Cricetulus griseus: one gene and its partners. The main gene of each other region encodes a partner of the protein of the gene in region 3 in a complex. Links are inferred from orthologs where the notes say so. Each region holds a gene or a part of one and is shown on either strand. Other genes may lie near its edges.

Evidence for each region.
Region 1: the proteins of Orc2 (region 3) and Lrwd1 are in contact, whole or in part, in a crystal structure (PDB 8SIU), measured with the Rattus norvegicus proteins. The link is inferred for Cricetulus griseus from reciprocal best matches to the Homo sapiens genes ORC2 and LRWD1. Residues at the interface, in NP_001012003.1 of Rattus norvegicus: Val11, Pro12, Ser13, Val14, Gln15, Phe16, Val17, Gly18, Asp19, Val22, Leu23, Ser24, His25, Ile26, Leu27, Asp28; in XP_038945348.1 of Rattus norvegicus: Pro262, Leu263, His264, Phe265, Leu266, Gln267, Cys268, Ser270, Asn273, Ser274, Pro275, Leu320, Val321, Leu322, His323, Lys324, Tyr325, Lys326, Leu367, Val369, Gly372, Phe373, Cys374, Pro596, Pro598, Val599, Ala600, Val605, Ile630.
Region 2: the proteins of Orc2 (region 3) and Orc5 are in contact, whole or in part, in a cryo-EM structure (PDB 7JPO), measured with the Homo sapiens proteins. The link is inferred for Cricetulus griseus from reciprocal best matches to the Homo sapiens genes ORC2 and ORC5. Residues at the interface, in NP_006181.1 of Homo sapiens: Val240, Glu241, Tyr243, Phe244, Glu245, Ser248, Asp396, Gln398, Arg401, Gly402, Glu403, His426, Asn428, Ala429, Pro430, Leu431, Met432, Trp433, Asp434, His435, Gln438, Trp445; in NP_002544.1 of Homo sapiens: Asp324, Lys325, Phe328, Leu329, Leu359, Asp360, Arg361, Ala364, Tyr367, Ser368, Ala378, Asn379, Phe381, Ser382, Gln383, Thr385, Ser386, Thr389, Asp400, Gln401, Leu402, Asp403, Tyr407.

The regions. Positions count from the first base shown.
Region 1 is NC_048597.1:115,118,638-115,121,955, reverse strand, and holds part of Lrwd1 (leucine-rich repeat and WD repeat-containing protein 1), read left to right. Parts: intron 1-83; coding exon 84-224; intron 225-473; coding exon 474-578; intron 579-1,096; coding exon 1,097-1,219; intron 1,220-1,299; coding exon 1,300-1,414; intron 1,415-2,092; coding exon 2,093-2,202; intron 2,203-2,419; coding exon 2,420-2,627; intron 2,628-3,120; coding exon 3,121-3,193; intron 3,194-3,284; coding exon 3,285-3,318. UniProt on the Homo sapiens protein: Required for G1/S transition. Recruits and stabilizes the origin recognition complex (ORC) onto chromatin during G1 to establish pre-replication complex (preRC) and to heterochromatic sites in post-replicated cells.
Region 2 is NW_023276806.1:171,949,030-171,952,667, reverse strand, and holds part of Orc5 (origin recognition complex subunit 5), read right to left. Parts: intron 2,579-3,638; coding exon 2,530-2,578; intron 2,436-2,529; coding exon 2,345-2,435; intron 162-2,344; coding exon 109-161; intron 1-108. UniProt on the Homo sapiens protein: Component of the origin recognition complex (ORC) that binds origins of replication. DNA-binding is ATP-dependent. The specific DNA sequences that define origins of replication have not been identified yet.
Region 3 is NC_048595.1:412,887,957-412,892,316, reverse strand, and holds the start of Orc2 (origin recognition complex subunit 2), read left to right. Parts: upstream 1-1,532; 5' UTR 1,533-1,570; intron 1,571-2,230; 5' UTR 2,231-2,240; coding exon 2,241-2,334; intron 2,335-3,342; coding exon 3,343-3,486; intron 3,487-4,360. UniProt on the Homo sapiens protein: Component of the origin recognition complex (ORC) that binds origins of replication. DNA-binding is ATP-dependent. The specific DNA sequences that define origins of replication have not been identified yet.

The DNA of each region.
Region 1 (3,318 bases), on a different chromosome or scaffold from region 3:
TGTGCTCAGAAGGATGTAGGGTGAAGGTACTGTGTATGGCCAGGGGACTGGGGCTGGGTCTGGATCTGGTCCCTTTTTGGCAGGTCACAGCTCACTGGGAGAAGTTCATGGCCACCGTGAACCCTGAAGAGGAAGCTGACAAATTCCAGACTGACTTCGTGACATCTGCCATCAGGGACGTGCATTATGGCCCTGAGTCTCTCAGCGAGTTCACCCAGTGGCGGGTATGTCACTAATGAGGGACACTATGCGGGAGTTGGCTTCCCTGGCTCTAGGTTGTCCTAGAGAAGTCCCTGGCTCTATGGATTGGGGGACAGTGGTGAATGGGATGGGTCAGGGAATGGTGGCCCTTGTGCCTAGGGAGGCCCTTTTCCTACTTTGAGAGGCACAAGCTCCTGGTGGCAAGGTGTCTGGGGAGAGGATAAGGGCACCTGAGACTGTGCTCAGCCTGCTGACGGCCTGGCCCTACCCAGGTGCAGATGATCGCTGAGAAACTGGTGGCCTCAGGTGGGGCCCAGGTGCAGGAAGCTGACATACGAAAGGAGCCGCCACAGGCTGCAGCTGCCTCCAAGCCCAGGGTGAGTGTGTTTCCACAGGGCTGTGAGGGCCACAGGCCTTTCTGAGCTAGACCAGAGAGGGGCCTCCACATGAACTCAGGTGATGGTAGTCAGCCTGCCCTCGCTGTGACAAAATACCCAGAGTAACTAGCCTACTGGAAGGAAAGGTTAGTTTGGGTTTGTGGTTTCAGTCCATAGTTGCTTGGCCCAAGGCTGTTTGTATTGTGAGCTCACACAGCAAGGATGTCTGTGAATCTCATGATAGCTGGTATCCCAGTGTCCCCTTCAAAGGGAAGCCTCCCAGTGACCTAAGTCCCTTCACCTACACTGTACTTTTGAGTAGCCCCATAGACTGGTGACCCAGCTTTTTAAACTTTGGGCCCTTGGAGAACATTTTAAATGTTCAGCCCTAACACAGACCAAGTTCCCCCTGTGACAGTAGCTCAGTTCTTGCTTTACATACTTTTGAGGGTGTAGTTAAGCCTGTAGCCACGGGAGAAACCCTCTGGGGCACGGGCGCACGTTCCCTCCTTCCACAGTGCAGAGCGGTGGCCTCCAAGCGGCCAGATAATGTCCCACTCGACCTCCCTTCCATCAAGCGAGTGTGTTCCTCCCCAGCAGCCAAGACAGAGGACAAACCTGTGGACTCTGATGGAGGGCAGGTAAGCTCCCCAGATGGCAGGGGGAGTGTGCCAGAGAGGGAGCAAGCCAGGGGCAACTATAACCACCTGTGCCCCCACAGGCTGCCCTACACCTGGAACCCCTGCACTTCCTGCAGTGCCATAGCAGAAACAACAGCCCTAAGGACCTGGAGACCCAGCTGTGGGCCTGTGCCTTTGAGCCTGCCAGGGAGGAGGGTACACACTGGGGCCCACGGGCAGTGGGAGGCTTGGGTCACACAGTGGTACTCAGTGGCAGTCAGATTAAAAGATCCTTGAGGAATTCAGTGAGATTGTTTTTAGGGTAGAAAGGGATGGAAGTGGGTGGCGGTGGCGCACGCCTTTAATCCCAGCACTCTGGAGCAGATGCAGGAGAATCTCTGAGTTCAAGGCCAGCATGGTCTACAGAGCGAGTTCCAGGACAGCCAAAGGCTCCACAGAGAAACCTTGTCTCAAAAAAACAAAAACAAATCAAGGGTTGGAGACAGCTGACTGGCTAAGAGTGCTTGCTGCTTTTGTAGAGGGCTGAAGTTTGGTTCCCAGCTTCTACCATGGACAGCTCACAATTGCCAGTAACGCCAGCTCCCAGGAATTTAATGCCCTCTTCCGGCCTCCATGAGTACCTGCACTTATGTGCATACACCCCACGTGACACACATACATAACCATGCACTATTTGTTTAAAAGGTAAAAAGGCCATGGGAGTAGTACAGTGGTAGAGCACTTGTCTATCGTGTGAGGCCCTGGGTTCTATCCCCTGTCCAACAAATAATACTGTTATAATTTTTATTAATAAATGTCATGGAGGCCTGGAAGAGAGACTATAGGGAAGCACTTTACAGAAAAGTTGTTTATGTGGCTGATACCATAAAACAGGACACTCGGGGGCCACATCACAGACTGTGGCCACATGTGGTGGAGAGGCTGTTTGCGTGATAGACTGCCAGACAGGCATCGTTCTCCATAAATACAAGGTACCAGGCGAGGTGAGTGCCAGGGTCCTCTTCCTGAAGACTGCTGGGTCCAAGCTAAGCTCTCTATTTCCTGCAACTGCTCTGCCTCTGAGCCCTTTCCCTGGCTCCGCAGCCACCCACAGCCCTCCTGGGGGCTTTTCTTTGTTGGGCCTTACTGCCCCAGGCTAGCCCTCCAAGCAGGCTGCCACTTGTTCCTGCTCACGACCATTTCCTCCTTCCCACCCTTCAGGAGTTCTTCTCGGTGGCCTGGACAGCCCTGACGGTGGTCACCCAGGCAGGACACAAGAAGCGCTGGAACATGCTGGCAGCTGCAGGCCTCCGGGGCATGATCCGGCTGCTCCATGTGCGTGCAGGCTTTTGCTGCAGCGTCATCCGAGCCCATAAGAAGGCCATTGCCACCCTCTGCTTCAGCCCCACCCACGAGACCCACCTCTTCAGTAAGACCCTCACCTCTGAACTTTATCAGCACTGTAGTCTTTCTGCCCTGCTGTCCTGGGTCTCTTTTCTGGGGTGACAAGGCTCACAGGATGCTGGGCCCAGATGGCTTTAGTCAGAAGTGAGGTAGCTTCTTGACCAACCAGGATCTCCATTCCAGCATGCTATGCAGCCTTGACGTTTCCTAGCAACTTGGGCTCCTTGCTTCTACTCTGCCTGGGACCAAGGGAGATAACCCTGCCCCTTGGGTATGGTGAGCCCAACGAAGGAGCCAGATGTGCTACAAAGACGGCTATGATGCTGTGCACACTGGGCTCAGACAGGACTGGGGATTGTGGCCCCGAGTTCTTGTCCTAGCCGCAGTCTGCTGCCCTTTCTGCCTGCTTCTGATTAAGCTAGTTGAGGGACCCAACTCACAGATTCAACCTGCAAGAGGGGGCGGGATCTTCTGAGGGCTACCCTCTTCCCTCCATCCCCCAACCCCCCCCCCCACAGCTGCCTCTTACGACAAACGGATCATCCTCTGGGACATTGGGGTGCCCAACCATGAATACCAGTTCCAGGCTAGGTGAGGCTGTGGACCAGGCTGGAGAGGGGCGGACTGCTAAGGGTGATGTTCATGGCCCACAGCTCATGGTTTCCCACACCCGTGTTGGCAGCCAGCTACTCATGCTCAACTGCAGCTCTGTCCCC
Region 2 (3,638 bases), on a different chromosome or scaffold from region 3:
AAACTCTTTTCAAACTCCATTTGCTAACTGAAGACTCTTTATCACTAACCACTATTTTATAATAGTTTAAACAGTTCCCCTGGTAATTCTCAGTATTGTATTTGATACCTTTTAGCTGTCCTGGGTCTGTGTCATCTTTCTGTAACTTTTCCCACTGGGAACTAAAATAAAACAAAAAAGGAAAAATAGATTGAAAATATAAGAAATCAATATCCTTTAGTAAAAAGAGCCCCACAGAACATATTCTCATCTAAGTCAGAAAATAGAAAAATAAAATTTACATACGCGTGTACATGTTTTTACCTGTACAAAATCATTTGAAATATATTAACAATGTAACAAAATGCTCAGGTGTTAATTTTTTAGTTATCTTTTTCACTCTGATTACAATAAGCTCCCAGCAGTTCTAATCACTGTATGGAATACAACTGCACATCAATTCTAGTCTGTAATCAACTGAAGTATGTATGATCAGAACACTGAGACCTTCAAGAACACAGTTGGCCGGCGTTGGTAGCGCACGCCTTTAATCCCAGCACTCAGGAGGCAGAGGCAGGCGGATCTCTGTGAATTCGAGGCCAGCCTGGTCTCCAGAGCAAGTGCCAGGATAGGCTCCAAAGCTACATAGAGAAACCCTGTCTCAAAAAGCCAAAAAACAAAACAAAACAAAAAAAACCCAAAAAACCCAAAAAAAATAAAACAACAACAAAAAACAGCCAAATATGAATCCATATTTATCAAAATCCCTATTTTTCAAAAGAGAGAGGGAAGAAAAATCAGAAACTCTACAGGTGGTTAGGCCCAGGCTAGAAGGATGAAGAAAGGTGTTTGAGTACACTGTTGGGTAACAGCTTCAGCTTTTGATGTATTTGTCTCTTGTTTCTTCAGGGCAAGACGTTCTTCCCCACGCCACTTCTCTTGCTTCTTTTTTCAGGGTGGGGTGCTCACTAGGTAGTGGCCTGGAATTTACTTTATAGACCAGGCTGTCCTCAAATTCACAGAAATCTGTCTGCCTCTGCCACCTTAGTGCTGAGATTCAAAGCATGGACCACCATGCGGGTCCTCTCGCTACTGTTCTGAAGTTCTATCTCCAGCTTATCCAGCAAGCAATGTATACTGGCATACTGTTTGACATCATTTAGAGACAAAGTTAAACTCAGTGTTTACCATAGTCTTTTGGCTAGAATTTCCATATTATCACAGTCATGCCAAGACTGTCACTAGCAGATTGCTCAGAGATGCCTTATGAATAGTGTTCTCCATTTAATTCTGCTTAACCTGTTTTCTACAGCTTTGATACATGATTGACAGGTTGAAAAGATAAATATTTGGCTTCACTTCTCTTTGACTTTCTTGAAAATGCTCATCAATTTGCAGGTTTTATTGACTTGCTTTTGTAAGTGATTTTTTGCTTGGAATACTAGAGGTGCTTTCCTTTTTTTTCCGTTTAAACAGTTTACAAGTCTCAATAGCAGACTTAATAATGCTTCTTTCAAAGCTGCTATAAAGTAATTAAGCTGCCTTTTGTGGGGAAAAAGGCCTTAGCAGATGTGGCTGAGTCAGATCCTGAGACAGAAAATTTCTCTTACTCCAGTAGTCCCAGTGAAATCAATAAACCCCTTCCAGCAGGAGATGAGGTCAGGTAGAAGAGATAGTGCTTGGCTGCAGACTTAGAGCCACAATCTGATGAATACAGCAACTACCAGAAGCTGCAGGAATGTATCCTCTAAGAAAACACATTGTTTTAATCTCTGTGTCTGTGGTGATCTATTAGAATGCAGCATTCTACAGTAGGGTCAGTCCCATGTCATAAGGCTTGGCAGCATGAACTTTTACTCACTGAGCCTTTTGTCCAGCCACTATAAGGTTTTTTTTTTTACTCAAGGAATAGATCAAAATAAAAATATAAGTGGGAAAAAAAAAAAAAAAAAGAATGCAGCATTCTAGCTGAGTCTCGGAAAGGACCCTCTGATAACCGGGACAGTGGACACTTCCAGTGCATGAAAGCAGGTCGTCTTCATTTACCATGTTTTCTTCACTCTAGTGCTGAACCTCATACAACCCACATTTCCTGTCTCCATGAGGTCCAATTATAGCTGCGGCTGAATCTTCTCTTTCTACATACTTAATTCGGGGAAGGAAAGGAGAACGTGTATCCTTTAGTTTCACTGAACAACAGCTGTGATATGAAATTAAATAGTTTACAAATTTGAAATATTCTAGAGCTTAGATTTGGATTAGGGAGCTTAATCAGCAAATTCTATACAAACATTCAAAACCACAAACCTGATGTCTGTAACCCACTTCGGATAAATGCTATCTAACATGCTAGAAACATAATTACCTTGATATCTCCCTGAGATAAACGGTCTGCATTGCTTTCTTCAGGTGAGGCTCAATATTTCTCCACAGTTTTCGAGTATCGCGTTCACCTGCTACTCCAGGAAAAGAATTTCAATAATTAAATCGTGTATAACATAATTAATCTAATAACAATATAATGAAATATTAATAATTATAGTTAGTTACCTTCTCCTTTAACTACAGGTTCACAATATTTGGGAAAATTAAGCACTGCCTATAAATTTAAAACGAGAAGACAAAAAAGCAGGACAAAGATTATAGTTAGGAATTTTTCACATAAAATGTTTTATTACAAATTAAGCAATTTTATTTAAAATCAGTATTTAAGTACAGGCTAATTCTAACTTATTACTGCAATAAAGCAACAAAAATATCAATAATGTTAGTACAACAGCATACACACTGCTGGTTAAATCCTACTTAATACATTAGTCTCATATAAATGATAAGGCATTAATTTGTACTCTTAGCCATAATGATGTTTAATAAAAAGATCAAAGCTAGACAATTAACTGCTACTTTCCAGCATGTGAATACCATCATAAACCAAGCATCACCTAATTAAGGATAACTCAATTTAGGGATAAGACCCAAATCTACTACGTGTTTTAACAATCTCTTCAGGAATTCTATGCATTAAGAAGTGTGAGGAAAACTAATTAATCACAACTACTTAATACTTTCCATACTAGAATCCTACTGAAATCAGTTTTAGTGAATTAGTAAAATGTATTTATACACAAAAATGTCACTTACTAACACGAATCTGAACTCAAGTATTTTATGATGCAATGATTTAATAATGAAGCCTAGAGAGGAGTCAGACATAGTAATAGTATAAATTCAAATTCAGAGGACAATAAGTACTGCAAGTAGTTGCAAAGAGAAGGGAATAAAAGAGAGCTATATAGCACAGCCAACTTCTTGCATTAATTTTAGATTTTCAGACCTAAGCACTGAACTAATTAATACTAATGCTTCATCTTAACAAAGCCAGTTAATAGCCCAGCCAAATTCTGCACGGCTCTCCAATATCATGCCCATTTCTCCTACATTTAGTTCTCAAATATCAGCAAATTTCTACTACTTTGTATTAGTATTTCAGCTTACTTAACTTTCTATTAATGGGTCAGGCCAACTAAAGCATTTGCCTTGGGGCTCACACGGGGAACATGACAGCAGGCTTGGCAGACACAGTTATCTGCAAGTAGGAGGTGGAGAGAGCTAGCTGGGGCTTTTTAGAATCTCAAAACCTGCCCCCAGTGGCAAACCTC
Region 3 (4,360 bases):
AAGTTGTCCTCTGGCCTCCACACTTATACATATACAATAAACTACCATAGAGAAAATTGCCTGTGATAATATTTAGTTACCTAAAATATTTTTATAAAAGTTTTTGAAAATTCACTCTCAAAAATTATTTAGCTTTGCTAATGAAAATTATGTACAAGTCTTCTTCTGTCATGTCCCCCTCCCCTTTCTCTCCTCTTCTTGCCCTGAAGTTCAGAGCCAAATGTTTTGTTTTATGACGACATGCTATAAATAGTTTTCAGAGAGCAGAACAAGCAATTAGGGCAGGATTTTTATTCAGTGGCATGAAATGTTTTGCAAGGTAGCAAGGTAAAGAGAAAGGAACAAGCTATATAATCAAGTGATCAGGAATTTAGCAATCAGTTAAAACTGATTTTTTTTTTTTTTTTTTTTTTTCGGGACAAGGTTTCTCTGTGGCTTTGGAGGCTGTCCTGGAACTAGCTCTTGTAGACCAGGATGGTCTTGAACTCACAGAGATCCACCTGCCTCTGCCTCCCGAGTGCTGGGATTAAAAGTGTGCGCCACCAACGCCCGGCTAAAACTGATTTCTAATTGTGTGAATTTTAATGATTCATTTAATATTTAGCTGACAGCTTATTTATAGAGTAATTACACACATACACAAATATGTTCTTGAGTCTTATTAATTTCTGGTGTATCTAAAGGTACCTGATACAGTATCTTACATATAGTTCCTACCAAAAATAAAACCCTTTTCTTTTTTTTTTTTTTTCTTTTCGAGACAGGGTTTCTCTGTGTAGCTTTGGAGCCTATCCTGGCATTCGCTCTGGAGACCAGGCTGGCCTCAAACTCACAGAGATCCGCCTGCCTCTATTTCCCTAGTGTTGGGATTAAAAGTGTGTGCCACCAATGCCCGGCTCAAAAATCCCTTTTCATTCAAGTATAAATTATTAGTTTCTTCATACAGGTCTATGTAGATGCATTACACATTTTCTTTAATGTACTTGGATTCTCCGGAACAGAAAGCATCGATATGGCTATAAAATGACCCAAGAAGGACATGCTTTACTGGATGTGGTTGTGACTCTGTGGATGACATATTTGTTTTTTTTGCTACAAAGTGTAACTTCTTGAAGCTCTGAAGGGTAAATTGGAATAATGTAAAGAGGTGGGCTTGGTGGCAATTGCTTATGTTTCTAGCACTTGAGAGGCAGAGCAGGAGAATTTTGAGTTCAAGGCTTGCCTTGGCTACATAACAAGACTATTTCACTACAACAGAACACAAAGTACTGAAAACTATATGTAGCTTATAGTAAGTGCTTAGCTTTCTCCTCTGGCCTACCTCTTGCCAGTCTAAATGCTTTTCTCAGTCTTGGTTTCTTTAGCCTGTTACTATTTTGTCCTCTTTGTGCCATCATAGTAGCTTTAGTTTCTTGGAGGACAGTTATCTACACATCATGTTGTTAAAATGCTTGACTTTGTGGGTGGGGTTACCCTGGTTGCTTTCCCATTACCTATTAGCTGATCTTGACTGACTTCTAGTTACAGGTGACTGAATTTGCAAGCTGCAGAATGCATAGCACCTTACAAGGTAAATGAAAAAGGCCACTTAATTGTACTGTTTTTTTTTTTTTAATTTTCCTTTATTTCAGCAGTTTTTCAGGTTTTTTTTTTTTTTAAAGATATTTATTTATTATGTATACAGTCTTCTGCCTGCATGCCAGCGGAGGACACCAGATGTCATCCAAAGTGGTTGTTAGCCACCATGTGGTTGCTGGGAATTGAACTCAGGACCTCTGGAAGAACATTCAGTGCTCTTAGCCTCTGAGCCATCTCTCCAGCCCCAATTGTACTGGTTATTAAACAAAAATTTGCAACATTTGTTATCTATAATTTTAACATTTGTTAGCTATCTGTAATAAGTAAGATAGTGAGAGATAGTCATTAGGTTTTTTTGTTGTTGTTGTTGCTAATTTGTTTTTTTTGCTAGAAGAAAAGGCAAAAATGGGATTTATGAATGCATGTCCTAGCTTGATTTCCTGTTGCTGTGGTAAAGAATGTGACCAAAAGCAATTTGAGAAGGAAAGAACTTGGCTTCCATGTCCCAGTTAGAAGCCATCATTGAAGGATATACTAATACATAGTGCATAGTATGATTCTACCTTTAAAAATATTAAGTAAATATCTGTATTTATTTCACAAATGTTTATTTGGTATGAATTCTTCATCACATTGACTTACTACTTTTTAGGTTGGCCATAATGAGCACACTGCAGTTAAAGGAAGCTAAGGTGCTGGATGTTCAATTTGTGGGAGATGATAATGTTCTCAATCACATTTTTGATAGAGAAGGAGGTATGTATGATTGTACAGTTGAAGAGATGCTTATGATCACATCTTTGTTGTTGTTGTTGTTTTCCCGAACCAGGGTTTCTCTGTGTGGCCCTGGCTGTCCTGGAACTCGCTCTGTAGACCAGACTGGCCACAAACTCACAGAGACCCACCTGCCTCTGCCTGTGAGTGCTGGGATGAAATGATTTGTGGTGGTAGAAAATGATTGCCCACTAACCCCAAAACCACAAATTAACACTTTCAAGGGGGTGTGTGTTTAACTTAATTGTTTATTTCTTCTTCTTCTTCCTCCTCTTCCTCCTCCTCCTCCTCCTCTTCCTCACCCCCCCCCCCCCCCCCGTATGTCTGTATACCACATATGTGCTTGGTGCCCAGAACAACACATTGGATACCCTACAGCTAGAATTACATACAGTTGTGAGCCACCATATGGGTGCTAGGGACTGAACCCAGATCCTCTATTAGAGCATCAAGTGCTCTTAGAGCACACCTTAGAGATGTTGAGTCATCTCTCCAGCCTCTGACTTAGTATCTTTAATGAAAGGAAAAACATTGGCTTCTCTCAGTTTTACGTACTAATCATGCATTTAGTGAGGTTTGTCTACTGACATATGTAACATGCACATGGTGGTCAGAGGAGAACTCTCTGGAAATGGTTCTCTTCTTCCCCTTGTATTCCGTCAGGCTGGTATGGCCCACAGTTTATCTGCCGAACCATCTGGATGGCTCTAATGAAATGTTTAGAAAGATTTCACAACAGTCAATGGTAGCGCATGCCTTTAATCCCAGCTTTCAAGAGGCAGAGGCAGATGGCTCTCTCTGTGAGTTCTAGACCATCCTGGTCTACAGAAAGAGTTTCAGGACAACCAGAACTGTGAACTCCTGCCTCAAAAAAAATATGTGTGTGTGTGTGTGTGTGTGTGTGTGTGTGTGTGTGTGTGTGTGTAGGTGTGTAATTAATAAAAAGATATTCATACCTTTAATTTTCATACCTTTTGTGTATTTTTATAGGAACTAAATTAAAGAAGGAGAAAGCTCAGCTTTTGGTTAATCCCCAGAAAATAATAAAGAAGCCAGAATGTGAATTGGAGAAGAGTGACCAAGAAGTCTTAAAGGATCAGAACTATGTGGAAGTTTTGGGAAGAAATATTCAAGGTATTCAATGAGGGTAACATACACTAAGCTTTTGGCTAGTAGCATGAACTGCTTGCTTTTCAGGATGTACAAAAATAACTTGGTAGCCTAGAAAGTGGTATACTATAATTGTGTGTCGAATCTAAAAGCATTCCCTTTGTTTGCTATTGTTGCATTTTTTAAAGTTTAGTTTTTTCATTTTGTTTGTATATGAGTGCAAGTGCCCTTGGAGCCAGAAGAGGGCATTAGCTGGGGTTACAAGTTCCCAAAGCAGCACTGGGAACTGAACTCAGGCTTCTATTGAACCATCTCTCCAGCCCCCAGCAGGTTTTTTTGTTTTTGTTTTTGTTTTGTTTTTTTTTTTTTAATAAAAGAGAAGTAACCAGTGCTTGAGTCCTTGGTCTGTGACCCAATGCAGCCTCCTGAATAGTTGGGATTATAGGCATGTCTCATCATGCCACATATAGGCATGTAATTGTATTTAGAGGAGAAAAGGTGTTAAGTTCCCTGATTCAGAGGCTTCAGTCCATGGTTGCTGGTCTGGTGTTCTTGGGCAGAACATCATGTGGGTTGGTAGCCTGTGCAGGAGAGCTGTTCATGGAGACAGGGAGCCGAGGATAGTCACATTACAGATTAGGTCTCTTTACTGTTACTTTGATCCTCTTTTTAAAATAGAAGGAAAATTCAAGGAGGTAGTGTTGCTCTCACCTAGGCATGCTCACAGTGTTGTTTTGGTTTGGTATGGTTGTTTTTTTTTGTTTGTTTGTTTTTGTTTTTGTTTTTTTGAGATGGGAGCCTTTTGACATAGCCCTACTGTCCTGGAACTCTCTCTGTAGACCAGGCTAGCCTCTAACTCACTGAGATCCTCCTGCCTCTGCCTCCTGAGTGCTGGGAT